Pelodiscus sinensis: one gene and its partner. The protein of the gene in region 1 interacts with the protein of each later gene in a pairwise test. Links are inferred from orthologs where the notes say so. Each region holds a gene or a part of one and is shown on either strand. Other genes may lie near its edges.

What was found.
Region 2: the proteins of FAM114A1 (region 1) and RAB2B interact in binary tests that used the Homo sapiens proteins (3 or more experiments, as listed by UniProt). The two-hybrid records come from large-scale screens. The link is inferred for Pelodiscus sinensis from reciprocal best matches to the Homo sapiens genes FAM114A1 and RAB2B.

The regions. Positions count from the first base shown.
Region 1 is NC_134715.1:93,498,923-93,514,718, reverse strand, and holds the start of FAM114A1 (protein NOXP20), read left to right. Parts: upstream 1-8,989; coding exon 8,990-9,331; exon of another isoform or gene 9,332-11,503; coding exon 11,504-11,591; exon of another isoform or gene 11,592-14,571; intron 14,572-14,589; exon of another isoform or gene 14,590-15,796. UniProt on the Homo sapiens protein: May play a role in neuronal cell development.
Region 2 is NC_134740.1:773,457-789,316, forward strand, and holds RAB2B (ras-related protein Rab-2B), read left to right. Parts: upstream 1-4,170; 5' UTR 4,171-4,356; coding exon 4,357-4,402; intron 4,403-5,333; coding exon 5,334-5,405; intron 5,406-5,624; coding exon 5,625-5,692; intron 5,693-6,044; coding exon 6,045-6,127; intron 6,128-6,335; coding exon 6,336-6,428; intron 6,429-6,667; coding exon 6,668-6,779; intron 6,780-7,103; coding exon 7,104-7,172; intron 7,173-7,944; coding exon 7,945-8,049; 3' UTR 8,050-8,500; downstream 8,501-15,860. UniProt on the Homo sapiens protein: The small GTPases Rab are key regulators of intracellular membrane trafficking, from the formation of transport vesicles to their fusion with membranes. Rabs cycle between active GTP-bound and inactive GDP-bound states.

The DNA of each region.
Region 1 (15,796 bases):
CTGATCTTGTCATGGGGTTCTTTAGAATCCCATCCCGATCAAGTGCACAGTTAATTAAGGATCCAAACGAAAAGGGAAACGGCTGCTGCCTAAAAACATGCCATGGCCATTTAAAAAATACCCAGCTTCGGTGCACTGGGATTTATTTTAAAATGCCCCTCTGTACTTTGGTTGTGCCTTCCCCGTTGCTTTTGAGGAACTGAGCTCTGCTTGTTAAACTGGAAACCAGCAGGGGGCACGATAATACCAGGCATCAACTACTTACTCCGAAAGTGTGCTTTCTAAAGTGTGCTGGGGCCTTCAGGGTAACACCTGCAAGGAGGCAGGAGAGAGGGCACCTGGGAGGCACTTAAGCTCTCTTTGTTTTCTTGCAGCTTAGTGTACCTTTTCCTAACTTTACACAGGACTTCGAGGCCACATTTAAAACGGGTATAGTTCCACCAACATCAGCAGAGATGTGTCCTCTTACATGTGTGAGCAGGGCCCTGAATCTTCCTTCTTGAAACCTACAGAAGAATAGTTCCATGCACTTAGTTTAGATACAGAGGAGGTAACCAATTCAATTGTGTTTTAATATTAATGTAGGATGCTTTTTGGTAGGAAATATATACATGACCATCTGAATTACACATTATGCTGCAGTGAAACGTGGATATTCATTGCTGTTTCTTTTCATTCTGCAAGCTATTTTTAGCGATTATCTAGTATAATGCTGTATACTTAGGTAGCTCATTGGGGAAAGGGTTTAACTGACAAACTGCACATATGATGAACTTAGGTGAATTACCAAATATAGGATCCAACCATGTAAAGATGATGTATGTATTTCTCAAATTCAAAAGTGTACATAAATCTTTGCTGGATGAGGCCCATAATTAAGTTAATAGTGCTAAATTATTCCATCATGTACACACACACACACAAGTTCCACTGAATTCAGTGGAAGTAAATATCCCTTGTTAAACGACAAACACTACCTAGGAACAAACTATTTGTCTTCATGAAATGCCACCACAATCATTAGCCCGTGAGCACCATTAAAACCTAGGCAGAACTTATCCATACGTCAACATTTGTAGTATCTGCCATACTTATAATGGCAAATCACAGTGCGAGTTGTAAATTAGTTTTTCCAAAGATAGTTAAATTGCAATATGAACATCATTTTAATTATTTGTTATCAAGTGCTTGTCACTTGTGAGTTTTATGGTTCACTGACTGTAAGTGGAATATGGCAGAGGGGTCATAATAAGTCTGAGGGTAGCTGTGTTAGTCTGTAACTTTAAAAACAATAGGGTAGTCCTGTGGCACCTTAGATCAGTGGTCCCCAACCTTTTTGTGGCCAATAGCACATTCATGTTTTCAGAAGAGTGTGGCGGGCGCCAACACTTTTTCAAGGTTTATTTTGTATTGGTTCGTTAAATAATATGAAAAACATCATATTTAATATTACATCATATATGAATCCATAAGATAAAAAAGGTAATTTTACATGTAAAAGGTATTAATTAAATTATTCAGCAATTACTCTTTCACCTTGCCATATGAATTTGCTCTTTTTTATCTACCTGTAAGAAAAATTAAGGAGTTTTTACAAAATAAATATCATAAACAGTTTTCATCTTATTTATTTTTAAAAAGTAAAACATTGTTGAACTTCTGGTCCAAAAATACTTCTTATTCTTACTTTAACATAGATAGACAGTTATACTTAGTTAAAAAATATTCTTTGTATTGTTACTTTTATGTGGATTTCAATAAACAAACAAACAAATATGAAAAAAGTTAAACACAAGTTAATCATACCTATTTTCCATTAAGTGCTGGTGAGCGCATATCATTAATTCGTGTGGTTTTTTAATAAAGTCAGTGTGATTTTTGGCACTGCATTTCTTCAGCCAATTTTTCATAGTTGGGAGAATAGGATGATATTCTCGTTCATAAGCAATCGTCAAGATGGGCATCTGTAAGCCGAGATCTGTATTTTGATTTTATGATGATCATTGTTGAAAACAGAACTTCGCATAGATAAGTGGAACTGAAATAAGATTTTATTTTGTATGCTACATTTTTTTAAGGCAGGAAACTTTTTTCGGTCAACCAGATTCCAAAAGTTTTCATGTTACCTCTCCCTCCTCCCGTTTGACCGCCCAGCTCTTTCTTTTCACTTCCTCCCTCCTTCCCCCTGTGCACCTCCCCTGGCCATTTTTAAATCCCCTGCTGCCCGTCCCAGTCCCAGGGACATCACCCCCGTCGCTCTTCAGTGCCCCGCTCCCTTTTGCATAGCTCCGGTGCCATTTTGCATCGTCTGCCCTTTTTCTCTCCTGCCGCTTGCGCTCCCCGGCTCTTTAAAGCAGTGCGCTAGACTCCCGGTGCACAAACAGCCGGCACAAAGCCGGTACCTGACCCCTCGCACCGCGAGCAGCACGGTAGCAGGGGGACCCCGAGTGCGGGGTGGCAATGCCCCATCACAAGCGGCAATACACGATTAGAGGTTGTCACTAAGCGGGTGCACATAAATGCCATGGCATCCGCGGGCACCATGTTGGGGACCACGGCCTTAGAGGATACTATATATTTTTGTTAGTCTCTCAGGTGCTGCAGGACTACTAGTTGTTTTTAGTTATATTAATGGGATAATACAGACAGAGAAATACTAAGTTCCTACCCCAAAGATGCAACATTGTGAATTGGATAAACAATACTGTTGAGACTCCTACATACACTGAACAGCATTTAAATTTTCCTTTCTGTCCATATTTCACTTCCAGTTTTGCTGTGGCTGAGGATTTTAACACAAACATTAATAAACCACATCCTTTTGGAGAGAAAAAGTAGGTGAGGTAATATCTTCTATTACCGGGATTTTCAAACGTGAGTTGCGGACCCAGCAGTGAAAGCCCCTGGTAGGCCCATAACGATGGTTTACTCTAAAGCTCCGCAGCTATGAAGTCTCACAGCTCCCATTGGTCACAGTTTGCCATTTCCAGCCAAGGGGAACTGCAGGAAGTGTCGCTTTCCCTGGTTTGTCCGCAACCCAAGTTTAAAAACCCCCTGTTCTGTTGGGCCAAGTTCTGTTGGTGACAGGGATGTAAGCAACTAGTTGACTATCTGATAATCATATACTTATCGAATAGTCGACTAGTGAGTCAACTAGTCACTTCCCCTGCTCTTGCTCAGAGAGAGGCAGGAAAGAGGGGGAGCAGGATCTGCTGCTGGGTGGTGGGGGGACCAGTGTAAAAGCCAGCTTCCCCGCATCAGCATCTCCATGGGGGGAGAAAAGGAGGCAGAGGTGTAGTGGGGGATCATGTACTAGCTGGGAATCAGTTGGTTCCTGGCTCATGCCCAGTCCCCCCCATTGCGCTTCACCCTTTTAAATGTATTAAGAGCCTGGTGACTCTTAATACATTTAAAAAGCACAAAGCTTGGTGGAGAGGGGGACTGGGCATGAGCTGAGACAGCTGATTCCCAGCTCATGCCCACTCCTCCTCCCTCCTCTGCCCCCAGCTACTCTTCAGCCTTTTAAATATATTAAGAGCCTGGCGGCTCTTGATACATTTAAAAGGTAGAGCCACAGTAGGGTTAGCTCCTGGGGCTGGGAGCTAACCTGGCTGCGGCTCTGCAGTGTCTGCCCCTTGATAGAAATTCCATCGACTAGCCGATTAGCTGATTAAACGCCATTTAACATCCTTAGTTGGTGAAAGAGCCATGCGTTCGAGCTATACAGAGCTCTTCCTCAGGTCTGGAAAAGATTCTCAGAGTGTCATCGCTGAATATAGGATGGAACAGATTGATTAGCATAAATAATTAACATGCGTTCTAAGGGTATGTTTGTATTGCAGTTAAAAACTAATGAGTGGTCTGTGCCTGCTGACTTGGGTTCATGGGGCTTTGGCTCATGAGGCTGTTTTAATTGCAGTGTATGTATTCAGGCTCAGAGACCTTGTAATGAGGGAAGGTTCCCCCAAATGTGTACAGTAGGTCACAATTAAACAGCCCCAAATCAGCTAACACAGGCTAGCCACAGGTATTTAATAGCCGTATGGACACACTCTAAGTGACCATTCAAAGTGAAGATTAAAAGCTCCTAGGGACAGGTATTATGTCTTCTGTATGCCGTGCCAGGCATGCTGTTGGTGCTCAACAAATAGATAACAATGATCATTGTACAGTACTCCCTTTGGACTCTGCCATTGCCACTCCTTCCTCAGCTAAGGTGATTGCTGAATAGCCACTCCTGTCCCCTCTTGCATTTTCATTGTATAGTCTGCACAGCATGCATAGGAATTCTCTACACTGGATGTATTTATTTTAAACATTTTCCATCACTAACTCCTGTATAATTCCTGTTCATATCAGGGGTAGATGACAGTAAAATGCTGGTAGCCACTTAGCCCCATCACTTACTTTTGCTCCTGTGGAATCAATAGTTTGAACTTTTAAGAAAAGAGATCTAATGTCAACACAGCCATAATCATTTCAGGATCAGGCAGAGAGACTACATTCAGGAATTGATAACACTCTTTATCTATAAAGAACCAGAGTCAGAAATGTTAATTGTCTCCCATGTTACCCTTTTAAGTAAAAAGTGCAAGTTAAAAGGTGCCACTGAAAAACAACCTATGCCAGTTATTTGTTCTCTCTTTCAGTCTGAGCAAAATTTGGAGGAGGAAAGTAATTAATTGGCTTGAAGGGGAAACAGGAAAAATAAATACTATTTAAATGTCTAACAAGCAAAAAAGACAACCTTACCCTAGGGATGTGAAACATTAACCGGTAATGTTTACCAGTTCCAGTTAACTGGTGGGGCTGGAGCAGTTCCTCACCTGCCAGGAGCAGGGGACTGCTCCAGCTCCATGGGGCCCGTCCCAGGCAGGGGCACTGCAGCCTACCTGAAGCAGCCTCTGCCCATGGTGGGCCTAAGCACACCACAATCAGGGTCCACTCCAGCGCAGGTGGAAAGGGGACACTCCCTGCCTGTTCCCCCTTTAATCAGTTAACCAGTTAAACATTATGTTTAACCAGTTGACCAAGATTTTACATCCCTAGCCTGCCCCAAACATGCATACTGTGCCCTCAATCAAAACCAATAAACCTGGGCTCTGCCTAACCATCTGGAGATGCGAGTTCCAGAATAGAGAGCCACTCATACCACTTGAAGTTCTAGGAGAAAGTAAAAAGTCTCAAAACATCATTCAAATAGCAAACATCTCGGACAAATCATGGTGGAGCCATCTCAGTAGTGAATGACTGCTGAAATTGTAACGACTCCTGAAGCCATGCCCTGCCTGCCCTCAAGTTCTCTCCTCAACCTAATGCAGTAACATCACCACTATTTCATTCAGATTAAGCTTTTTCCAGCATTCTCTGCAACACTTAATCAGTTGGCTCTGAGACTCTATCTTCTGGGTCTGATGAAAATGAAATCATGTCCTCTGCATGCCAATGGCACTGTAGCCCGAATCAGCTCTCTTCCTCAATGGTGTTACATCTACCTCTAACAGAAAAGGAGATGAAAATAAATCTCTGTGGCAGCTCTGACAAGAAGTTCTTTAGGACAAATGAACAGTTCCCCACAAACACTCTCTGGAGCAAAAAGAATGGAACCACATGAATGATGCCCTCTGTACTTCTCAGGATGGGTTCTTTCAAGCTGCTTAGATCCCTCATATCTCACTCATTTCATGGGATCAGACTCCAATCTGCCTATATATTTTTCTACATGCATGCAATTTCATTAACATACAATCATCACATGATTTTTGTTATTTCCTGTGAGACTATAAAGGACTGAAAATGAGCTAACGTTAAAAAGAATTTTAATTGAAAAGTGAAGGGGAAAGTTTTAACTTCAGGGATGTAGAGATTAACTCTCCTCTTTGGTTTTCTACCTGTTTAACTCTTAAATTACTCCTGATTTATACTAGGGTGATTAAATATTAGTTAATTGATTAGTCGAGTAACCTCATGAATTCTGTCTATAGTTCCCTGGGGTGGGGCTGACAGCCAGTGTGCTCCGGCCTCACTCGTGAGGAGCCAAGCTCTCCTTGAAGACTAGCTGCCTGTTGCCCAGTACTGTTGTGTCTGATAAAGAGGCAGCAGCATGGGGTGGCAGTAGCCCCTGTATAGGAGATGTCTGAGCTCCTAGACCTGGTACGAGCCAAAACAGCTTGGCTGCCTGCCCATGTGGCTCCTAATACACTTCAAAGGTAGAGCCACATTGCGGGGTAGGTCCCAGACCCGGCATGAGCCAGGACCAAGCTGGGCTGCCTGCCTGCCCAGCTCCTAATACACTTTAAATGCAGAGCTGCAGCAGAGTAGGTCCCAGACCCGGTGCAAATCAAGAGTGAGCCAGGCTGCTGGCCAGCCTGCTAAAAAATTTACTGGCAGTGGGATGGGGGAGAGAAATGCTAGTAGTCTACTCTATAGCATTATCATAAGCTTTTGCTTATCGGTTAATCGGTTAATTGACTACACTATTATTACATCTCTAATTTATACCTGTGTAAACAAGAACACAGTCTAGTCAATTCTGCTTAATCATATCAAACAGATTATTTGTATAGCCTTAATCATTATAAATATATCTATATAGAACTCAAGTAGTCGAAACCCAAAGTGTGAGTTACCAACAGTTAAAATAAATTACATTCCTAAGTAGTATAGCCAACTTCAAATACCAGAAAAAGTTTGAATGTGAGGCTCACTTATTTATTGTGTGTAAAAAATTTCTATTGCTTTAATTAGAACATGAGAGAGCACCAGATCTGTGTGGGACAGAAGTAAATTTGGGTCTAAAATAAAGAATGTACCTACTAAAATTCTACAATTGATAGGTATATGTTCATATTTGGTTGTAAATCTGTTGTAAATCTGAAGTAACTCCATGGGAGTTAATGCTCCTACATTTGGGTAAAACAGGCGTGGGAGAAGAATTAAGCCCAATGTATCTGAAAAGCAGTTCTCCTTTGTCTGTCTTCCAAGACCTATGTTCATAAAACACAAAGGCTACGTCTACACTGGCATGATATTCCGAAAATGCTTTTAACGGAAAACTTTTCCGTTAAAAGCATTTTCGGAAAATCACGTCCAGATTGGCAGGATTCTTTTCCACAAAAGCACTTTTTTGCGGAAAAGCGTCCGTGGCCAATCCAGACGCTGTTTTCCGCAAAAAAGCCCCGATCGCCATTTTCGCGATCAGGACTTTTTTGCGGAAAACAGTACTGTGCTGTCTACACTGGCCCTTTTGCGCAAAAGTCTTTTGGAAAAGACTTTTGCCCGAACGGGAGCAGCATAGTATTTCTGGAAAAGCACTGACGATCTTACATGAGATCGTCAGTGCTTTTCTGGAAATTCAAGTGGCCAGTGTAGACAGCTGGCAAGTTTTTCCGCAAAAGTAGATGATTTTGCGGAAAAGCTTGCCAGTCTAGACACAGCCAATGGGAAGGGGCTGCTAGCAGCCATAGTTGTACTGCAGAATGACCACTGGAGGCGCAGGTGCGCCAGTAGGAGAGTGGCCAGCTGGGGACAGGGCTCTAGATGTTGCTGGCCACTCACACGGGTAAGATTCCTGTGCTGCTGAGCTGCCTGTTAGGCAGCATGGCTTCCCTTTCGCCAACCAGACCCAGGGAGCCGGCAGCCAGGCAGCATAGTCCCCGGCCAGCCCAGGGGAGCTGTTTTATAGCAGCCTTCATACAAACAATACTTGAAAATTCTCTGCAGAGTTCAATAATAAAGTTATGGTTTAAAAATGACTGTAGAAGAGAAATGTTCTGTTTTTGCATGAGATTAGAGAATGAATAGCATGTAGGGCAGATAATGGAAACATTATTCCAGATGGCAAGGGTTACAGAGCTGCTCTTCTTGCACTCTCATTGGTGAGATAATGGGAGGGACCTCGGGGAAACCAGTGCTAAACAAGCAGAGAGAATTTCAGTAACTCAGGCCACGGCTGTTGGCCTTCTGTAGGAGAGGGTGAGTGAGGTTCTGTGGCTGGCAATGTGCAAGAGGTCAGACTAAATCAAGGGTCTCAAACACCCGGCCCATGGGTCATCCCTGGCCAGAATGATTGCATAATCCAGCCAGAGACTCTTGGTGGACTGGGGGGGAACTCGTGCTTTACTGGTCCCCAAGCCACATCCCTTCCTGCCATCACCCTGCCTCTCCATCCCATGGTGCTCTGTCCCCCAAGGATGCCACTTTGGGGATTATTGCGGGGCATGGCATGGCAGCAGCAGTTGGGCCTCCCATGGCAGCAGGAGCCACGGGGAAGCAGAGTGAGTGCACTTGCCCAGTGTGTTCTGCTTCCCCAATGGCTCCTGCCACTGCAGAGAGTGCAGGGAGGTGCAACCCCTGCCACCACGTGGTGCCAGGCCCCCCCGGTGATCTCTGAAGCCACGTCCTTGGGGGATGGTGGAAAGAGGGTGGGACAATGATGGGAAGGAGTGGGGTGTGGGGACCAGTAATAGACAGGACCCACTCGGCCCACTGGGAGTTCTAGGTTTGATTGTGCAATCGCTCCGCACAGGGATAGCCTACAGGCCAGGAGTTTGAGACCCTTGAAGTAGATGATCATAATGGTCCATCTGGCCTTAAAGTCTATTAGTCTATAATATGAAGAAAATAAAAAGTCTTGGACAAGTCTATGTTGGGTTTTAAATCAGCAAGATTTCTTTAGATAAGGTAATCAGTGTTTATTACATGGACTGTATATACTGTCCTCCAAGATCAAGGATTATAACTAACCTGCACAAACTAACCTTGATGATTTCTGTAAATGAAACACTGCTAATTTACAACACAGACTTCTGTAGTCTTCTGTGTCATTATTAGCATGCTGTGTATCTGCAATGTGATTGAATGTGATTGCAAGGCAGGATATATATTTCACTGCCTTTGTGTCGTTTAAGTGTTTGTGAGATTTGACATTGATTTGATTAGTTCATATAAATATACTCATCTCTTTGGTTTTTTTAAGTTGAAATAAAAAATGTCTAATGACATGAGTGACGCAGTACCCATTGAAGGAAAACCTGAAACAATGGCAATGCCTAGTAGTGATGAATCGGCTAAAGATACAGCAGAACATAGTGAAATGCCTGGGATCTTGCATGGGTCTTCCCAAGATGAACAGAGACAAGTTTCTTATAATACTAGTAATGGACAGGAAGGGGACATGGCTATCAATGAAAATCCTTTGACTATGGAAGTAATTGCAAGTCAGCCTTCCAGCAGAAAGGTGACTGAAAACGTGCCTACTGACTGCAGCGAGTCTGTGAGCCTTGATCCTGAACCTGGATCAGAAGTGACACCAAATGAACAAAGCAGTCCAGTAAGTAATCTTGTCTTTTTCTTCCAGAACAGCTTTCCTTTATGGTAATTAGCTTTCTGTATGAGAGAATCATAAGCATATTTCCCCACTTTGTGCAAAGAACAGGATTCTGTAAAAATAATATATTTTGTAAAAATAATAGATTTGCTGCATTAGCATTTTGCTATGAAATAATCATGGGCAATTTTCTACAAAAATCTAGGAAATCATGCCAAAAAATCTGTGGTAAAATAACACTGTTTAGATTGCAGTGAAGCACTCAACAGTTAGGAAAAGTCAAATTTGCCCATGTGACATGAATTTGCTCCCCTGGTGTGTATGTACTATGATAATCCTTCATTTTCTTCACACCCCGGTTCATTCAGTGCATGGGATGGACAAAAAGTGGGCAGAAGTGGGTCACATATGCAACCATTAATTTGTGCTTCCTGACTTCTGGGTATCTGACTGCAAACTATACAATATCCTTTCAGCCTAAGGATGTATTTGTTTTCATATTTACATTCTGTTAGCACCTGAAGCCTCAATCAGATTAGGCCCACATTGTAGAACAGTATCCTTGCCTCAAAGAGATGATAGTCTGGTAAGGCCAGTCTAGCCCTATTTAGACACATGCTTAAGTCCCATTGAGTTCAGTGAGACTTAAGCACATTCAAATGCTTTGCTGAATAGGGGGCCTTTAAAGATAAGATATGCCAGATGGACAAACACATGAGTTCAAAAACAAGAAGATGTTTTAACCTAAAGTAGCCGTATTTGCTCTTCTTAGCTAATTGGTAGTCATAACCACAATTCACCATCTGTCTAACAATTATCAGACAACATTTCTATTGATGTTCCATAGAGCTCATCTCAAAATCTTGAGATGTTTCAGTTATTACTATTGTTTTGTTTATATTAGTACCTACTACTTTTAAAATTATAATTAACTAGCCATAATGAAAAACTGAAATTAAAACGACCCTAGCTCCTGAAGGTTCATGAATCTTTGTTTTCTACTTCAGCTGAGTGCACAGAACTGCTTATGTTAGTGGCACAATTACTATTGCTTGTGGATACTGTGTTTGCTTCACCTGTAAAAGCAAAAGTTATTTCTTTTTTTTTATTTCATGTCAGCAGCATAGAATCCGTGTCCAATAAGGACACAGCAACTTCTCCATTTAATATGGTGAGCAGAAAGGATCTCTAATCAAATTACAGACAAGGAATTGTAGGCCAAGGACTGGAGGAAAGAAATAATTTATTCTTCCCCTTTGAATATGGGTGAAGAGGGTCATGCACATAAGACGTGTGCCTTTTCTAAGGAACCTGTTTTCCTGTCCAGAGATTCAATACATATTGAAGCTAGGTTACAAAGAAGTGATATAGAAGTTCTAATAAGACAATTGATTTTTTTAGCCTTATTAAAATATGGAATACTGAAAATAGTCTAATGCAATACAATAATTTTAGCTACACTTTATTTTCTTGAGAGAGGGAATGTAGGCCTTTGCACCAGAGTTACTCTCTTCTCTGCACCTACCACAGAAGCTTAAACTTTAACCAGAAACCTCAATTTAAAGTAAAATAATGCAGCACTGCAACGCCACCATTGAATATAAGACAGTATCTTCTTTGGGTTTCTATTCCCACAGATCCCTGATGGCATTACAGGTTGAACCCCTGTAATCTGGATTTCCCTGATCCAGCATTGTCAGTGATCCCATGGGTACTTGGGGCTGGAGCACTCATGAATGAAAACCAGTTGGGCTGGGGCCAGGAACATTACTGGACCAGGGAAGAGCTGAGCCCAGGTGGGCAGAGCCCCTGCAGGCTGGGACAGCTGAGCTGTGGAATCCCAGCAGGTCAGAGCAGTTGAGCTGCAGAGCCCTTGCAGACCTGGGGGGGGAGGGCAGAGATGCAGCTGAGCCCCAGCATCCTAGGAGGCTGCTGTAGAGCGCAAGCAGGGGGAGTGGAGATGCTGGCAGCCCCAGGTCCAGCAAATTCTGTCATTTGGGACTGGTCAGTCCCGAGGGTGCCAGACCATGGAGATTCAACCTGTACTGTTGAATTACAAATGTAATTACATTGTTTAATACATGCTGGAGTCTGGTTTCTAGTAGTGGATATTTTTTCTCCTGTATTTGGGCAATTTAAATTTCTGACGGTGAAACTGAATATTTCCTACTGTAGGATTTGGACTCCTCTCCTAAAGGAAGTGGATGGGGAGCATGGGGATCATGGGGCAAATCTCTGCTGTCAACAGCATCTGCCACAGTTGGTAAGTGTTCAGCCATTAAACCTTGTGGCATCACTGGACAGTACTTTTAAATCAGAGTTTTAATGCAGGTTGGCATGGTTAAATGCTCTTAAAGGCAACTATTAATGACTAAGTGGTTGTTTACATTTGTAAGATTTATATGTAATCTTATCCTGCTTTGAACAAAATATTCCTGGGCTACCATGACCTTTGCAATGTGAAAGAAATTTTTTTTTCTTGTAAATCATTTTGGCTTTCATGAAAGGTCAGTGAAGTCAACAAATTACCTCATTAGATTTCAGAGAGCATAAGGAGATCCTGAATATTTTTTTAAATTATAAGCCTTTTAACTTCTAACATATCTTCTAAATTCAAAGCCAACTTAAGCCACTAGTGACAAAAAGTATGTTATATTATCAATTTGTTATCTGACAAAAAATTGTGTGGTGCCAGGTAGCCATTTTACAAAGAAACCAGTTTAATTTACATCCTTACTGGAAGTTTTAAGAGAGAGGCTAAGCACTTAGGGGTTTGAAGTCTGAATTAACCTTCCTACTCTTCAAGATGGTATTAGAGTTGGGGAAAATTGAAAGGATATTATTGGAAAAGTTTGCATTGCTGTTGTGCATTCATATTCTTCAGTCTCTTTGGGCTGTCTGACCAGCATCTTTCACAAAGTCATAGTTGAAAAATCAACAATGTTTTCATTTGATTATATTCACACAAATCAGTACATAAATCCTGGATTCTTGGGAGTAGGATCTACCAACATCCAAATGTACTATCATTTCTTGAATTAATGTAGGTTTGGTAAAGTAATAGGCATTAAACATTAAGAATTTTCTTCTTAATGACAAGTTCATGGTATGAGCCAGGGGATTTGTGTGTGTGTATTATGATTATTTATATAATTACTAATAGGCATCTCAAGGAATTTAAGAAATGCAGGTAGTGAGTTTAGTCATGTTAGGTTAAAATAACAATGTATATGCTTTGAACAGAAAAGAAACAGTATCTATATGTTTATACTTTATATGCATATCATAGTACATTAATGCTATTATAACTAACGTGCAAAGTCTTTCATGTAAGTACTGCTGACCTATGACTGTTGTCCCCTAGTAGATAGTTTCTTGCATGAGGAAACAAATAGGTAATAAATCCACTCTTCAGTATAATAGAGAAGGTATTAAATTATCCTATTACTGGAAGTTGCAGCTAGACAAATTCAGGCAGGAAATAAGGTGTAAAATTTTGAAACAGTTTTCCAAGAGTAAAGGCAGATTCTACATCACTGATTTTAAAATCAATATTGGATGTTTTCTAAAAGATTTGCTCTAGGATTGATTATTGAAAAGTTCTATGGCCTGTTGTATAGGAGACCAAACTAGATGTTCACAATGATCTTGGGATCAATGATTCCCTTAATACAACCAAGGAATATGCAAGACCTTGTGAGTACTGAAATACAAAACATTCTTCCAAGCAATATGAGTCATGCAATAGTCTACTTATTTCAATTACCCAACTTGTTTACTGCTATTATATCAGTATGTATACATAGTGCTCAGCCTGAGCTCATTGGTTAACCCTCATGGTTATATGCAGTTCTCCCTCCCCTCCACCTCCCCTCGCCTCCTCCCCCCCACTGCTGCCTCTGTATCAGAGGCAGCAGCGCAGGGGGAGACGCAGGAGCCAATGCTCACAGGGAAGCCAGCTTAAAAGCTGGGTCCCAGAAAACACCGGCTCCCGCAGAGCCAAGTGCTGGGGTGGGGGCAAGGAGGTGGAAGCTGATACACATGGGAAGCTGGCTTTCAAGTGGTAACACATTTACAAAAATAAACAAATGTTAACATCCCAGAGAAAGAGGCAACTTTCCTTTGTTTCAGGGCTTTAACTGCTGGAGAAAGACTGCCCTCCTTCCCAGCCTCTGCTCGGGGGCTGCTCTGGTGGGGAGAGGGAGACATTCCCCTCCTTCTCAGCCCCATCTCACTATCTGCCAGGGCAAAGTGGTGGGGTGAGAAAGAGACACCCTCTCCCATTCCCAGAACAGTTTGGTGGTTGGTGGGACAGGGGAAAGATACCTCCTACCCTGAGGACTGCTATTTACAATTCCTAGTGCCCTATAGCGCTCAACCATCTGCACCATGCCCACAGAGGAGGAGGGTGGCCACTTCACAGGAGAGCTATCTCAAGGGCTAGGGGACAAGCCCAGGGCTGGGATGGGGCAGGAACAGGGCTAGAAGTGGGGACACTGACAGAGGAGCAAGCAGGGAGTGGTGTGAATGCATGGGGAGTTCATGGGGATTGGATCATAGGAGACTCGCCTTCCCTCTCCCTAGCCCAGTTTCAGTTCACTTGGTGCAAAGGGAGCCCTGCTAGTTCTGGTTGGTACTGAGGAGAAGGCAGATCCTTGCAGGTGGTGTGGGGGGGAGGGGAGGAAAGCAGTGCTTCTGGGGCATCGAGGGGGGCTGCAGTTAGCCCTCTTCACCCTAAAGACAATTGAGATGCTACACACCAAGTAAGTGTGCAGTGGCTTTAACTGGGGAGGCAGAGCCTTACTGGAAGGAAACCAGTCACCTCAGCTTCTCCCATGCTGCTGCTATGCAGTCCCAGTGGCTGCTTCGGCTCAGCAGTCAAAGTGTGGGGGTCTGGGAGCTGAGGGAGGGGGGCGGTCACAGAGCATCATGAATCACTGGGCAGCACAGACATGCATAGCCCATGGTTCCCTCCCTAGCTGGAGTCAAGGCAGCTTCCTGGGCCTCACAGGACTGATTCGCCCTCCCCAACGGAGCGGTAATTCCTCTTGCCAGAGCCCTTTATTCTTGCTTCATCTGCTGGATCTGGCTATCCCTTGCATGCGTGCCCACCAGCCAGCTGCTCTAGTGAATCCTTCAAAACCTGCCGCTTCTCCTCTTCTCTCCCAGCTTTGTCCAGGGAGTGGACCAGAGGTGAAGCGGGGTTCTGCTCCACAGCTTGCTGGAGATGAGCTGAAGGTTTCCTTTTGACAGAAGGGGAAACAGCTGATGAGTGGCGGTTGGGTGCAGCCCTAGAGATTACATGATGAATTTTGCATAAAGCATATTTGAATTATGCATATTCATATTCAAAACACATCGCCATAAAAATATGTAGGCGTAGCATCACAGACATATCTTGAAAGTAACTGAAGTTGCAAGCATGTTACTGAGAGCAGAATTTAACTTGCAAAATAGAATTCTGTCCTCAATTGCAAAAGCACATTTCTCATTAAGGTAATTAAGAGAGAGACGTTTATCTGATGGTAAAATATGATCTTTTAGAAATAAAAAAGAGACATAATGTATGGTATGAAGAGAGATTAAAAAGAAAGCATTGTGTGGAAAGATTAGTATGTGCGATATGTCGGAAGTATATAAAATAATTAATGATACAGAGAAGATTAAACCATTAGATGATTAGATGAAGGAGATAGTCTATACGTCTCTTGTAGTCATTTCTAACCCTGTGATTTTATAGTTATCCTCATTGTAGAAAAACAAGGAAACAATGAATGAAATTGAAAGTAAACACATTTAAAACAAGTAAAAAGAAATACTTTTTAAAAACACATAATTGACCTCACTGTCATACCATATAACTGGGGCCAAAAGCTTCATATCTAAGGGTTTAGAAAAGGATTGGGTATTTTTATGGATGTATATTCACAGTTACATTAGATAAAATTGAAACATTGTTATATGGGATATAAACCTGTGTGCTTCCAGATTCACTCTACATGGACCAGGAAGAATATCCCCCTACAGACAGGCTATTTCTTAATTATCCATTATAGAAATTCTTGCTCCCAACTTTTAAGTGTTTAAAGTATGTCTACTGTCAAAGAATATTGGATTATATAGATCACAGGTCTGAGCACAATTATAATTCCTAGATAGAGGGGAAACTAAGCTTTTTATACAGTCAGTGAGGAATCGTTGTAATAGATCTTCTTTTTATTTTATATTTTATATTTATTATTATTCTTTAAAATATTCTATTGAGTATCTGAATAATTCATCCCACACTACTTCTTTCATCTATTCCACTATATCAGAAAACAGGTATCACATGATACAATCCACCTGAATGTTGCTTGTCCCCTTAATGTAGCAAGTGCTACAAACAAAGCCATTTTTCTCGTACTAAAACTAGCAGCAGCATCTTAGATCTAGTACTTCGCTGTTTCTTAGTAATCCCATTTCTGT
Region 2 (15,860 bases), on another chromosome or scaffold:
TGATGGCAGGCAGCCTCTTCCACCCTAGCCTGGCCAGAGACACGCTCCATGCTGGCCAAGCCACAGCCCCCTCAGGCAACAGAACATCTTGGGTTCCTCTAGCTGCCTCTGCTCCTTGCTCAGTTCCAGGTGAGCCCGTATCTCCCATGGGCCAGCTCCAGCCTCCATCCATGGGCTCTGCTCGGCCCCCTTCCCAAATCCATCTCCCGTTTTCCACTCCTGGCCTCAGCACCTCTCACCTCCGCCCCCGACAGGAAGGGGTGGGCCGCCCCCGTGATGGCTAGGTAGTTGTCGTTTCCTCCAGGGAACTACAGGAGACAGAAAAGGAGATGTAGGGGGAGGGAGCTTTCGGCGTGACTTTCACACCACCACGTGTAAGTAGGGATGTTAAGAGTCGGCTAAGTAGGTAACCATATAACTACTGATTACACAGTTACCCGCAGCAAAGCCGCCCCTCAAGGACTGGCTGAGTGTCACTGACACCATTAACCGACAAGGTGATGCTTATTGGTTAAACAGCGAGTCGGTGACATACGGACATCCCTTGAAGTGTGGACAAGGCCTGGCTCACGGGTTCTTTGCCCCTCAAAGGTGTCTTACATTTCAGTCAGGCTGGTGTGAGCAGTAAGTGGACACCGAAACCAGCATCCAGCGCCGGGAAGATTCCAAGTGCGAGTCAAACCAACCAAACCAGTTTGACACCATTGGCAGGCAGGGGTGGGATTCGCGTCCCCAGAGAAAGGCAGGAGGGCCCGTGGGTTGAGACGCAGCCCCTTCACTACCTGGGCATCAGGCCTCGTCCAGACCGGCGCTGGGCTCTGGAGCGGGCAGCGCTGCACCCGTATACGGCGCCGCCGCTTCGAGAGACACAGCGTCCGCTGGAGCAATCAGGCCGGTGCCAGAGCCCGACTGGCCGCCGCAGCCAACACACCTCTGGAGGGCAGAAGGGCTGGCTCCCAGGGGGGGGGCACTACGGGCAGGACACAGCTGAGCTGCTGACTTCACCCCAGCCCCCCACTACCCACCTAGCTCACCCGCCAAATCCCCCCACCCCCCACAAATCCAGCCCCACAGCCCCCACCTAGCCCAGCCGCCAAATCCCCCCACCCCCCACAAACCCAGCCCCACAGCCCCACCTAGCCCAGCCGCCAAATCCCCCACCCCCCACAAACCCAGCCCCACAGCCCCCACCTAGCCCAGCCGCCAAATCCCCCCACCCCCCACAAACCCAGCCCCACAGCCCCCACCTAGCCCAGCCGCCAAATCCCCCCACCCCCCACAAACCCAGCCCCACAGCCCCCACCTAGCCCAGCCGCCAAATCCCCCACCCCCCACAAACCCAGCCCCACAGCCCCCACCTAGCCCAGCCGCCAAATCCCCCCACCCCCCACAAACCCAGCCCCACAGCCCCCACCTAGCCCAGCCGCCAAATCCCCCCACCCCCCACAAACCCAGCCCCACAGCCCCCACCTAGCCCAGCCGCCAAATCCCCCCACCCCCCACACACCCAGCCCCACCTAGCCCAGCCGCCAAATCCCCCCACCCCCCACAAACCCAGCCCCACAGCCCCCACCTAGCCCAGCCGCCAAATCCCCCCACCCCCACAAACCCAGCCCCACAGCCCCCACCTAGCCCAGCCGCCAAATCCCCCACCCCCCACAAACCCAGCCCCACAGCCCCCACCTAGCCCAGCCGCCAAATCCCCCCACCCCCCACAAACCCAGCCCCACAGCCCCCACCTAGCCCAGCCGCCAAATCCCCCCACCCCCCACAAACCCAGCCCCACAGCCCCCACCTAGCCCAGCCGCCAAATCCCCCACCCCCCACAAACCCAGCCCCACAGCCCCCACCTAGCCCAGCCGCCAAATCCCCCCACCCCCCACAAACCCAGCCCCACAGCCCCCACCTAGCCCAGCCGCCAAATCCCCCCACCCCCCACAAACCCAGCCCCACAGCCCCCACCTAGCCCAGCCGCCAAATCCCCCCACCCCCCACAAACCCAGCCCCACAGCCCCCACCTAGCCCAGCCGCCAAATCCCCCCACCCCCACAAACCCAGCCCCACAGCCCCCACCTAGCCCAGCCGCCAAATCCCCCACCCCCCACAAACCCAGCCCCACAGCCCCCACCTAGCCCAGCCGCCAAATCCCCCCACCCCCACAAACCCAGCCCCACAGCCCCCACCTAGCCCAGCCGCCAAATCCCCCCACCCCCCACAAACCCAGCCCCACAGCCCCCACCTAGCCCAGCCGCCAAATCCCCCCACCCCCCACAAACCCAGCCCCACAGCCCCCACCTAGCCCAGCCGCCAAATCCCCCCACCCCCCACAAACCCAGCCCCACAGCCCCACCTAGCCCAGCCGCCAAATCCCCCCACCCCCCACAAACCCAGCCCCACAGCCCCCACCTAGCCCAGCCGCCAAATCCCCCCACCCCCCACAAACCCAGCCCCACAGCCCCCACCTAGCCCAGCCGCCAAATCCCCCCACCCCCCACACACCCAGCCCCACCTAGCCCAGCCGCCAAATCCCCCCACCCCCTCCCAGCCCCACAGCCCCACCTAGCCCAGCCGCCAAATCCCCCACCCCCCACAAACCCAGCCCCACAGCCCCCACCTAGCCCAGCCGCCAAATCCCCCCACCCCCACAAACCCAGCCCCACAGCCCCCACCTAGCCCAGCCGCCAAATCCCCCCACCCCCCACACACCCAGCCCCACCTAGCCCAGCCGCCAAATCCCCCCACCCCCCACAAACCCAGCCCCACAGCCCCCACCTAGCCCAGCCGCCAAATCCCCCCACCCCCCACAAACCCAGCCCCACAGCCCCCACCTAGCCCAGCCGCCAAATCCCCCACCCCCCACAAACCCAGCCCCACAGCCCCCACCTAGCCCAGCCGCCAAATCCCCCCACCCCCCACAAACCCAGCCCCACAGCCCCCACCTAGCCCAGCCGCCAAATCCCCCCACCCCCCACAAACCCAGCCCCACAGCCCCCACCTAGCCCAGCCGCCAAATCCCCCCACCCCCCACAAACCCAGCCCCACAGCCCCACCTAGCCCAGCCGCCAAATCCCCCCACCCCCCACACACCCAGCCCCACAGCCCCACCTAGCCCAGCCGCCAAATCCCCCCACCCCCCACAAACCCAGCCCCACAGCCCCCACCTAGCCCAGCCGCCAAATCCCCCCACCCCCCACAAACCCAGCCCCACAGCCCCCACCTAGCCCAGCCGCCAAATCCCCCCACCCCCCACAAACCCAGCCCCACAGCCCCCACCTAGCCCAGCCGCCAAATCCCCCCACCCCCCACACACCCAGCCCCACCTAGCCCAGCCGCCAAATCCCCCCACCCCCCACAAACCCAGCCCCACAGCCCCCACCTAGCCCAGCCGCCAAATCCCCCCACCCCCCACAAACCCAGCCCCACAGCCCCCACCTAGCCCAGCCGCCAAATCCCCCCACCCCCCACAAACCCAGCCCCACAGCCCCACCTAGCCCAGCCGCCAAATCCCCCCACCCCCCACACACCCAGCCCCACAGCCCCCACCTAGCCCAGCCGCCAAATCCCCCCACCCCCCACAAACCCAGCCCCACAGCCCCCACCTAGCCCAGCCGCCAAATCCCCCACCCCCCACAAACCCAGCCCCACAGCCCCCACCTAGCCCAGCCGCCAAATCCCCCACCCCCACAAACCCAGCCCCCTCCCAGCCCCGCCCCCTCTCACCTCCATGGTCCCAGTGGCCGCCTCCGCGACTGAGCGACCCGACCCGACCCTCCGAGTCCTTGCCCGGAACCGGAAATCGCCCCCCGTCTCCGGTGTGTGGCGTCACTTCCGGTGCCGGCCGCAAGTGGCGCGGCCCTGGAGACGGGCCCGCGACCCGGTTGCCAAGGAGGGGCTGGAGGGGTGCCGGAAAGAGAACAGTAGAGACGGGCCTGGTCACGAGACAGAGCGGCACCGGAAGTGGCGCCATAGAGTTGAGAAGGGGTAAAGGCTAGCGCGACCGGAAGTGGAACCATGGAGTTGACAAAGGGTGGAGGCTAGCGCGACCGGAAGTGGCGCCATAGAGTTGACAAAGTGTGGAGGCTAGCGCGACCGGAAGTGGCGCCATAGAGTTGACAAAGGGTGGAGGCTAGCGCGACCGGAAGTGGAACCATGGAGTTGACAAAGGGTGGAGGCTAGCGCGCCACATTAACTGCACCATAGAGTAAGCGGCGTGCTAGGCATAGAGCGGCTCCTCTTGCCGGAAGTAGAGCAGCGAAGAAGGCATAGGGTGCGGGCAGAGCGGCACCGGAAGTAGAGCAGTGGAGTCCGGCACGGGGTGGGGCTAGAGAGACCTTTGGCGGACCCGCTTGTGGCATCATGTCTTATGCCTACCTCTTCAAGTACATCATCATCGGGGACACCGGTACCGGGCCGGGCCGCGGGGGCTGTGGGGGAGGGGCAGGGGACGGGGGCTGTGGGGGAACGGGGGGCTGTGGGGGAGGGGCAGGGGACGGGGGCTGTGGGGGAACGGGGGGCTGTGGGGGAGGGGCAGGGGACGGGGACTGTGGGGGACCGGGGGGGGCTGTGGGGGAGGGGCAGGGGACGGGGGCTGTGGGGGACCGGGGGGGCTGTGGGGGAGGGGCAGGGGACGGGGGCTGTGGGGGACCGGGGGGGCTGTGGGGGAGGGGCAGGGGACGGGGGCTGTGGGGGACCGGGGGGGCTGTGGGGGAGGGGCAGGGGACGGGGGCTGTGGGGGAACGGGGGGCTGTGGGGGAGGGGCTGAGGACGGGGGCTGTGGGGGAGGGGCTGAGGACGGGGGCTGTGAGGGAACGGGGGGCTGTGGGGGAGGGGCAGGGGACGGGGGCTGTGGGGGACCGGGGGGGCTGTGGGGGAGGGGCAGGGGACGGGGGCTGTGGGGGAACGGGGGGCTGTGGGGGAGGGGCAGGGAACGGGGGGCTGTGGGGGAGGGGCAGGGGACGGGGGCTGTGGGGGAACGGGGGCTGTGGGGGAGGGGCAGGGAACGGGGGGCTGTGGGCGAGGGGCAGGGGACGGGGGCTGTGGGGGACGGGGGGGCTGTGGGGGAGGGGCAGGGGACGGGGGCTGTGGGGGAACGGGGGGCTGTGGGGGAGGGGCAGGGGACGGGGGCTGTGGGGGAGGGGCTGAGGACGGGGGCTGTGAGGGAACGGGGGGCTGTGGGGGAGGGGCAGGGGACGGGGGCTGTGGGGGAACGGGGGGCTGTGGGGGAGGGGCAGGGAACGGGGGCCTGTGGGGGAGGGGCAGGGGACGGGGCTGTGGGGAGGGGGCGGGGGCCGTGGGCGGGGAACAGGAGGGATACTGACAGTCTCTCTCCCCAGGGGTGGGGAAATCCTGCCTCCTGCTGCAGTTCACAGACAAGCGCTTCCAGCCCGTCCACGACCTGACCATTGGTGAGAGCAGGGCTGGGCTGGCAGGGGCCGTGGGTGGGGAACGAGGGGCACTGGCAGGGCTGGGGGACAGGGGCTGTGAGCCGGGAATGCAGGCGGGAGGCAGGGGCTGCAGGGCAGGAATGAGGGGCACCGGCAGAGCACTTGTGTTGGCCAGGGTGCACTGGGGCTGTCCCATTGGGTCTTCCTAGAAGGTTTCTGCTCTTTGCCTCTTTTTGCCAGGTGTGGAGTTTGGGGCTCGGATGATCAACATTGACAGCAAACAGATCAAGCTGCAGATCTGGGACACGGTGAGACGAGGGGTGGGCAGTAGGGCTCGGGGCGGCAATTGGGACAGCGGGAATATTGGGGCTGGGATATAGATTGGGAGATGGAGCTGTGGGGGGCGGTTACTCAGATGTGCTGGCCTGTGGGGTCTAATGGAGCTTCAGGATGCAGGGGGCTGACTTGGGGGTGATGAGGGGACTAGGGGGCTGGGCAAGCCAGATGTGGGCTGGGGGAATGGTAGGATGGAGGAACTGAGCCAGGCCCCAGTGGAGAGCTGTGGGCCTGGGCAGAGCCATGGGGCAGGGGGAGCCATACCCTGGGGCGAAGTCAAATCAGGGGAGCTGCTGTACTCAACATCCCTCCTCTCCTGTCCAGGCTGGGCAGGAGTCGTTTCGTTCCATCACCCGCTCATACTACCGTGGTGCGGCCGGGGCACTGCTGGTCTATGACATCACTAGGTAAGGCCTGCCCCACCCGCCATACCTCCCACTGACATGCTTGGAGCCTGGGGACCTCCCAGCCCCCTCTGTGCCAGGATGGGTAGGAATGGTGGCCCTAGCCTCTGGAGGTGGGTGACGGGAGAGATCATGTGACGATTACCTGTTGTGACACTGGGCTCGATGGACTTTTGCTCTGACCCCATGTGGCCGTTCTTATGCCCCACAGGCGGGAGACCTTTAACCACCTGACCACCTGGCTGGAGGACGCTCGGCAGCATTCCAGCTCCAACATGGTCATCATGCTCATTGGCAACAAGAGGTAGCCGGAGGCAAGGGGGCTGGGATCCACTTGGCAGGGAGGGGCGGATTCGGGCTGTCGAGGAGCTGGGAGAGCAGCCAGATGGGGGACACCTGTGGGGTAGGATGGGAAGGCGTCTCACCATGGGGGGATTCTCTGGGGCATGCAGGGATCCAGGGTGAAGCACAGAGGACCCAGGGAGTCAGTGGAGCAGGACCCCTGCCCAGCCGCGCTCACCCCCGCCCCTCGTGTCCCCGTAGCGACCTGGAATCTCGGCGGGACGTGCAGAAAGCGGAGGGCGAGGCCTTCGCACGGGAACATGGGCTGGTCTTCATGGAGACTTCGGCCAAGACATCCACCAACGTGGAAGAGGTGACTGGGAGAAAGGGAGGGGCTGAGGTTGTGGCCTGGGACTGCCCTTCCCTGCCACCTGCCTGTCTGCTTCCCACCTGATCTCCCTGTGTCCCTTCCCCTGCTCCCCTATCTCCTTCCTCTTCCTGCACCCTCTGTCGCTGCCAGTGGCATGGCGGTGCCCTGGCGTCACCCCTCCTACCCTGCCCATGCATCCCTCCAATCCCAGGTTCACCTAGTGTTTCCCTCACAGATGGGGTGATGCATGGGACCCCGTTATATGGGAGGGAGGAGGGAGTTTCCCAGACTTGCCTCGTTTCAGCCCCACGTGTGTTGGGATTTTAGGCCTTCATTGACACAGCCAAGGAAATCTACAGGAAGATCCAACAGGGGCTCTTTGACGTCAACAACGAGGTGAGCCAAAGCTGCCCGCCCTGCCTGGGTCCCATTGCTCATCCCACTCCCAGGGCCTGTAGGGCCATCCTGGACATCTAGGTCCCATTGCTCATCCCCCTCCCAGGGCCTGTAGGGCCATCCTGGACATCTAGGTCCCATTGCTCATCCCCCTCCCAGGGCCTGTAGGGCCATCCTGGACATCTAGGTCCCATTGCTCATCCCCCTCCCAGGGCCTGTAGGGCCATCCTGGACATCTAGGTCCCATTGCTCATCCCCCTCCCAGGGCCTGTAGGGCCATCCTGCACATCTAGGTCCCATTGCTCATCCCCCTTCCAGGGCCTGTAGGACCATCCTGGACATCTAGGTCCCATTGCTCATCCCCCTCCCAGGGCCTGTAGGACCATCCTGGACATCTAGGTCCCATTGCTCATCCCCCTCCCAGGGCCTGTAGGGCCATCCTGGACATCTAGGTCCCATTGCTCATCCCTCCCCCCACCACCTCAGGGCCTGTAGGACCATCCCGGTCACCTACATCCCATTGCTTGTCCCCCTCCCGGGGCCTGTAGGGCCATTGCTCGTCCCCTCCGCTCCCACCCCACCCCCGGGCCTGCAGGGCCATCCCGAACACCTGGGCTTCCCCTGCATCTCCCAGGCACAGGGGTGAGTGCCCCATGCTGCTATCTTGAATGCCTGGGTCCCATTCCCAACCCCAGGGTCTCATTAAGGGGGGAGCGGTTGTGGGGCTCTGGGGCAGGGTCTTCCCTTGCGTAACCTTCCCTCTCTCTTCTAGGCAAATGGGATCAAGATTGGGCCACAGCAACCGTCGGGCATAGCTCCTGGCGCCGGCACCCGTCACAGCCCCCAGGGCTCTGGAGACAGCTCAGGCTGCTGCTAGGCGCCCCGCAGTGCCCTCTGGTGTTGTCAGAGCCCCTGACTCACCCTCTGCTCCCGCGGGGTGAGACCAGCCCGCAGCCCTGGTGAGGAAGTTGGCTCCCAGCGGAAGTGGGGAGATCTCCTGTCCTGACCCCATGGAGGGGAGCAAGGACCCGATGCCTCCTGGATCATGCCTGGGGGGCAGTTAAAGATCCTGCCCCTAAACATTCCTCCCTGTAAGCTGGGGGGGCAGGGGCCAAGATGGGTCTGGAGTCTCCCCCTGTCAGTGCCTTCTTGCTTCTGCTGCATCTCTGACTGCCTAGGACGCACCAAGGCTTCCCTTCCTGGGGACTGAGGGGTCCTGACTGCGGACCCCCCCCCATGCTGCCTATGTGTTCCTGGCCAGGAGCCTCTCCCCTTTTAACTGTATCATTCTCTGGCTCCTCGTCTATTAAACATGTACGTGTCTGCAACCCGCACTCTGCATCTCTGCTTATAGGGGAACTGTGGCCCTACCCCCCAGCTCCCCGCGTGCTTGGGAAAGAACCCAGGGGTCCTGGCTCCCAGCTTCCCCCTCTCCTCCCTGCTCTAACCACTAGACCCCTTCCCACTCCTCCCTATTCCTGTCCCAGAGCTGGAGAAAGAACCCAGGACTCCTGGCTCCCATCCCCCTCCTAATCACCCCACTGATGGAAGATGTATTCCTTTGTCTGCCTGGGTGGGTGGGACTGAGCTTTTCTAAATATCTTGACGGATTCAAGTACTGAGTTCCCCATTCTCCTTACAGAGCTCTGAGCATCTGGCCCGTGTGTCTCCGGGCACAGGGGGACAGGTGGGTGAACATGATGACAACACAGAGGCCCAGATGCTGGTGACGGGGCCATAGGTTGCGCATGCTCACCTCTGCTGCTAGGGCAGCGTTTAACAGTCAGGGAAGGGGGTTGCAAAGACCCCCAACCCTCCTCTTCTCAGCACGGTTCAGCGTGGTGCCCAGAGGGAACCAAACCCACTACCACCACCCAACCTCAGCTCTGGGGAAAGCTCCCTAAAGACATCCCTGGGGGCAGGCAGCAGGAGGACTGTGATGGCCAGCGGCTACCTGCGACTTGTGTTCTGCTAGGCGGGTTAGGAAATGAGACCTGAGTTCACTTTTCAAGTGGATTCTTTAACCTGCATCAAACTCCTGCGTGGTTGAATTCAGTTTAGCTTTATTCCCTTTAGGTGTAAATGAAAATCAGCTGAATCACCACCGCTTGAACCCTGAACAAGAGCTTCCGTGCAGGGATTTAATCTGGTTTAATGGATCCGTTTTAAATTCACCCCCTTTGTGTCCCATGTGGACAGCAAGCCACTTGAGCGGGGGAGACACTTGGGTATTCTGTGTCACTTGGACCACGTAGGTCCCAACCAGCTGATCTTTGTGTGCTACTGCTGTATAGGTTTTAATAGCATAGCAACACCAGGGCAGGGGTCATAGCTTTGGGGCGAAAATGTTTTGCTAAGAATTATATATATTTATATATATATGTAACATATGAATTTTTTCTCCTTCCCAGAAATATTTAACTATGTAAAATATTTGAAGGAAAAAATCTTGCAATTTTTCTGACAATTTTGGGGAAATTCACACTTTCAATTTTTTATTTTTCTATAGGAGAAAAAGGAGTTTAAAGGGGTTTAAATTGGAGGCTGTGAGGAGAAGAACCCATTTGTTTTTAATGTGTTCACATTTTCCCACTGGAAAAGTGAGCAAAGATTTTAACAAAACAAAGTCATTATTGGATGCCTGCCTTTCCTCTCTTTTTTTTTTCCAGTGAGGTAAAAAATGAGAGAAAAATTACAATAAACAGAGAAAAGGAAAAACCCAGGAAATCCTATTCTTCTTAAAATTAAGCAATGTTTGATTTGTTTACAAACGCTTTCATTTTGGTGGGAAAAACACTTGTTTAGAATTTTGTAACAAAAGCCATTTTAAAACTTTAAAATGTTGAAGGAACAATACTTGTTTGTAGTCTTTTGAAGCGTTTTGCAAAGCAAACTTCTGACCTGGCTCATAAGTGCAGGGGACAGTTTCAAGTGGTGCACTGGCTTTGGTAGTGATGGACCCAGCTTGCAAGCCTGTCTCTAACTGTAAGAGGCATCTGCTGCCTCCTACAGAAGTTTTTCTGCTCGTGGAGGAACATGACCTTGCCAGACAACATGAGCTGTGCCAACACTGTCAGTGCTGCTGGGGTTTTGCTGGCGTACTGTTCAAACCCCGCCTGATGTATCTGTTACATGTAGACAAGGTCTTAGGACAGCACCAGCCTGAAGAAGTCCAGCCTCACAGGGAAGACATCTGGGAGTTATGAACTCATTCAAATGTTTTGATTTGTGTTTTGGTTTGGTTTTGTTTGTTTTTTTCCCTATTTCTGAGGAGTGGGGGGAGAGAAACTTTTCCTATCAAAAAGCATGTTTTGTTGGGGGGAACCCTAGTTTTTTCTGGTTCCTTTTCCCATGGGTGCTGGATTAAAGTTTTGAAACTGTCAAATGCTTTTGTTTCAGAAGAGCAGGGGAATTCCTCCTTCCTGTTCCATCCTCTGCCTCTTGCCCCCCAGGAAATTAAGTGGGAGGGGCTACAGGAAGAGAGGCGGCATTTCCCCACTGTTTGTTTTACTTTTTTTCTTTTGACTTTGTTTAAAAAGCCCCATCAATCTTTTTTCTGTGGGAAGTGGCTTTGTGGAAACAACTCGGATTAAAATGCTTTTTTTGGAGGAACATGTGTTAAGTACTGGGTCAGACCAGGTCCATCTAGCCCAGTATCCTATCTTCCCACAGTGGCCAGTGCCAGGCGCCCCATGGAATGAACAGAACGGAATCATCAGGCGACCCGTCCCTGTCACCCATTCCCAACCTCTGACAAACAGAGGCCAGAGGCACCCTCTCTGCCCACCCTGACTAATAGCCATGGATAGACTTAACCTCAATGAATTTTGAACTCTTTTAAAGTCCTGTTTAATTCATTTTTTTCCACGCTGGGTCATGATTTTATAGACCTGGAACATAAGAACGGCCATACTGTGTCAGAGCAAAGGTCCATCTAGCCCAATATCCTGTCTGCCAACAGTGGCCAATGCCAGATGCCCCAGAAGGAAGGAACACAACAGGTGATCACATCTCATGATCCCTCTCCTGTCATCCATTTCCAGACAGAGGCTAGGGACACCATTCCTACCCATCCTGGCTAATAGCATTGATGGACCTAACTTGCATGAATCTATCTAGCTCTTGTTTGAACCCTGTTAAAGTCCTAGCCTTCATAACATCCTCTGGGAAGGAGTTCCACAGGTTGACTGTGTGCTGAGTGAAGAAAAAACTTCCTTTAAACCTCCATCATATTTCCTTTAGTCACCTCTTTTCCAAGCTGAACTCTCCCAGTCTTATTAACCTCTCCTCATATGGCAGCCGTTCTCGGATCATTTTTGTTACCCTTTTCTGAACTTTTTCCAATTCTAAAATATCTTTGAGATGAGCTGACCACATATGTGTGCAGTATTCAAGATATAGGCGTGCCATGGATTTATATAGAGGCAATAAGACATTCTTTGTCTTTGTCTCTTTTTTTCTGATTTTTAATACTCTGTTTGCTTTTTTCACTGCTGCTGCACATTGAGTGGCTGTTTTCAGAGAACTATCCACAATGACTTCAAGATCTCTCTCTGGAGTGGTTATAGCTAAATGTAGTTGGGATGATATTTTCCAATGTGCATTATCTTGCATTTATCAACATTAAAATCCATGTGCCAGTTTGTTGCCAAGTCACCTAATGTGTTGAGCAGCTCCAGGACTCAGAGTCAAGCTGGAAGGGCTGAGAATCCCAGTAAGGGATGTTTTTGCTGAACACCAGTTGCTGGGCTTAGTACACAAGTTACATCTGGACAGGAGTGGTTTTGTGGGTATTTTTCCTTGCAATTTGGAGGTGCACAGGGCCATCTAGAGGTGAGCCATGGCCTGGTGGAGGCTGGCCAAGACAAGCCCCTGGGAAGCACAGCAGTGAGTAACAGTGGGAGTTAGAGGGGTCACAGAGGCTAATGTTTCTGGTATCTTTCTGGGGAGAATGAATGTGACCAGTCACTCATCCAGCTGTATCTGAATCCCCCTGGGGCTCAGTTTCCTTTGTGACCAGAGGCTATAGCTCTGCCTTCAGGCAGTGAGCTCAGAAATGGAGCAAAGCAAGCAGCCTCTGAGCCCTCCAGGGCAAATAGCTTTGTTCCTACCTTGCACTGGTGCTGCCGAGCATGCCACTGTAGGGAGCAAGGTGGGGCAGAACTAGACGTAGTGAGGTGTATCCCCACACTGACCACAGCTGTTGGCCAAATCCTGCTCCCATCTGTAAAATCCACACAGACTTGGAGGGGAGCTGCCGCCACCTGCTCTTAGTTCACTGCTTGTAGCTTTCTTCACACCTCCCAGAGCCCAGAACCCACCTAAAGCCCATCCGCACCCAGAATTGTCCAGATTCACACCACATGGGCTTGTTCCAGGAGAAGAGTGCCTGGTTTCTGCCTATCTTGAGGCCGGATCTACACTACTAGAAACGCTGGGCCAGCGACCTCTCCTAGTGTGAACACATCTTATGCTACCACGAAAAAAACGTTAGTTTGCTGGCACTTCCAGTCACTGCCTTGTTTATACCGGAAGAGTTTGTCTGGCCTAGCTGAACCCAGTCTGGCTACACAGGCAAGTCACCTGGTGGAGATGCAGTGTGCACCAGTAGAAGACTCACCCAGCCTTAATCTAGATTCATGTCTCAATGTAGACAAGACTAAAGGTACGTCTACATAGCAATGTTATTTTAAAATAACAGTCCACCTCTACACAGCAGGCAGGTCTTTCGATATACAGTCAAACTGGAGGACTTCTTACTCCGACTCCTGTAACCCTCATGGTATGAGGAGTAAGGGATGTCCAAGGAAGAGTACTCTATTTTGAAATAAGTGCTGTGTAGACACACCCTGCGAGTGCTAGCGGGAGTTGACCAAGAGTAAAGCTGGGTGTAGAACAGCCTTTGTGATTGTGAATACCAGGATTTAAACCACTGTGCCTCTTTGCAAATTGGGGATTAGAAGATTAAAGTAAATGGGTCCTGTGTTAATATTGCAAAAATACAGAGTTATGTGGGAGAAAAACCCACAGCCCTTGGGGAAACTTGTCAGTCTCAATGGTAAGCATAGACCAGATCTCCCCCAAGTGAAATCATTCTACCTATAGAAGAGCAGTTCTTGGTACGGCTGTGTGTAGACAGGAGCGTCGCTGGCCCATCTTTGTGGGTGAGGACATAGGCTGCTTCACAACCTTGACCCATAAAGCCATGCTGGTAGGAACGCCAGAGCCAGAGGGTTCATGTACTCATGTAGTTTCATTGACTGACTTCACAAGTGGACAACTTAAGAGTTGCCTATGTGGGGATGTCAATCCAGACAACGGCAGGATGTGAATTAAAAATGGAACAATTTAGAATAACTCCCAATGTGGGCCCTCTTATTTAGGAATAAAGTCTTGATTACTGAGAGGCACTCTGAAAAAATCAGTCTGGATTAACAATGTGAACTACAGAATAAAACCATATGCACAAAGATTTTTTTTTCAGAATACCTGTCCTACTTTAAATTTACACCCTGCCTTAATCCAAATTAACATCTCAATGTAGACTAAGGCTATGTCTAGACTACAATGCTTTATTGGAAAAAGGTTTGCAATTTGCATACCTTTTTCCAATAGTTTTGTCGGAAGAGGCTTTTCCTAAATTTGACCTGTTTTGGAAAATTTTGGAAAAACCTTCTCTTTCAGAAGAGCCCTTCTTCCTCGTGGAAGGAGGAAGACAGGGCTTCTGAAAGAGCATGTCTGCTCTTCCGCCAAAAAAAGTGGAAGAGCAGATGTGTTCCCTGGATACCTCCAATATCCTGGAAAACCCCATAGTCTAGACGTAGCCTCAGAAGGTGTGTCCAGACTACTGAGTTTTGTCGACAAAAGTGGACTTTTGTCAACAAAACTATACCAGCGTCTACACTGCCGCTGAGTTCTGTTGACATAACGTCGACAGAACTCAGCAGTTTTGTCAACGCTGGTATACCTCATTTTACAAGGCATAACACCTTCTGTCAACAGAAGGTGTTATTGCCTGTGGGGTTGCGTCTAGACTACAGGGCTCTGTCGACAAAGCAACTTGCTTTGTCGACAGAACTCAATGTGTCTGGACGCTCTTTGTCGACAGAAGTTTTGTCGACAGATACTGTCGACAAAACTTCTGTCGACAAAACCCGGTAGTCTAGACGTACCCAGAGTGTTGGCAGGAGCTAATCAAGAGCAACTCTGAGTGTGGACCAGCCTTTGAGATCATGACAGCCTGGATTGAAACCGCTGTGCTGCTTTGCAACGTGGGAATTAGAGGGTTAAAGTAAAGGTCTCCTGTGTTCATTTGCAAAAATAGCTCCCTGCGCCGACCTCTTTCTGATGCTTCCATTCCATTGTGAAGGCCAGGCCTTGAACAGGGTTAAAAAAAGAGCTAGAGCCATGTCTACACTTGGAGACAAAAAGAAGCCACAGTCAATCTTCTGGGGTTTGAATGAGCAGGTCTGGGGAAGGTCTTAGTCCTGCTTCCACAAGGAATAAGGGAAGTCGGGGAGAGTGGCTCTGACTTCCCACAGTGCGGACAGCTCCATAAATCGAGTTAAGATACTTCGCCGTAAGAGGCGCAAGGAACGTAGCTGAAGCTGCGTCTCTACCGCGACTCCATCCCAGGCCAGGTCTGTCAATGGCTATTGACCGGGATGGGCAGGACTAGTGAACCTGGCTCAGGGGCTGGGGAGGGCAGCCTGTTCCCTAAGCAGGCACTGAAGGGGGCACCACTGCATTAAAGGGGGGGTAACAACTCCCCCCATGCACTCAGCATGCCCCCCCCAGCCTGTCCCCTATAGGTGTCCGACCCACTGCCTGATTGAAACAAGGGTGTGGGGAAAAAATCCCCCGTGGGCTGCCGGGCGAGGGCGAGAGGGGCCAAATCCCGCAGGCCGCAGGGGGGTTAATTCCATGAGGGAGATTTTCAGTCAGGCACCACGCGGGGCAGCCCCAGCCGGGCCAAGGCCTCCCTCCACCCCTCCTCTCTGCGGAGACTTCCTGGAAGGGGTCTCAGCCTAACCTGCTAGCTGGCCCCGCCCCCGGGCTCGCGGCCGCAGCCGGGAGAGTGGGCGGGGCTTCGAGGGGCTGCGGGGTAGGTTGCGCCGCCCATGCTCCGCCGCCTTGTTCGCGCCGGGGGGGGGCCGCGCGGCGCGGGGCGAGGCCGAGGCGGCCGCAGGGGAGACCCCAGGTAGGTCCCCGCCCCCCCCGCCCGCACGGGTATTATGGGATGGCGGCGCGCCCGGCCGCGGGAGGCTGCCCAGGCGCGGAGGCCCCCCCCCCGAGGGATGGTCCAGCCCGGCCCCCATAGGGGGTAATGGGGGGGGGCGCGTCCATATTGCACCGGGGGGTAGATGGGGGGCGGGTCCATGTTGCACCCGGCGGGGGGGAGGTTGGGGGGCGGGTCCATGTTGCACCCGGCGGGGGGGGGGGAGGTTGAGGGCGGGTCCATGTTGCACCGGGAGGGGGAATTGGGGGGGCTGGGTCCATACTGCACTGGGGGGGGAAATTAGGGGGGGCTGGACCCTTGTTGCACAGGAGGGGAATTGGGGCTGGGTCCATATTGCACCGGAGTAGTGGGGGGGGCTGGGTCCATATTGCACGGGGGCAATGGGGGGGGGCTGGGTCCATATTGCACGGGGGCAATGGGGGGGGCTGGGTCCATATTGCACGGGGGCA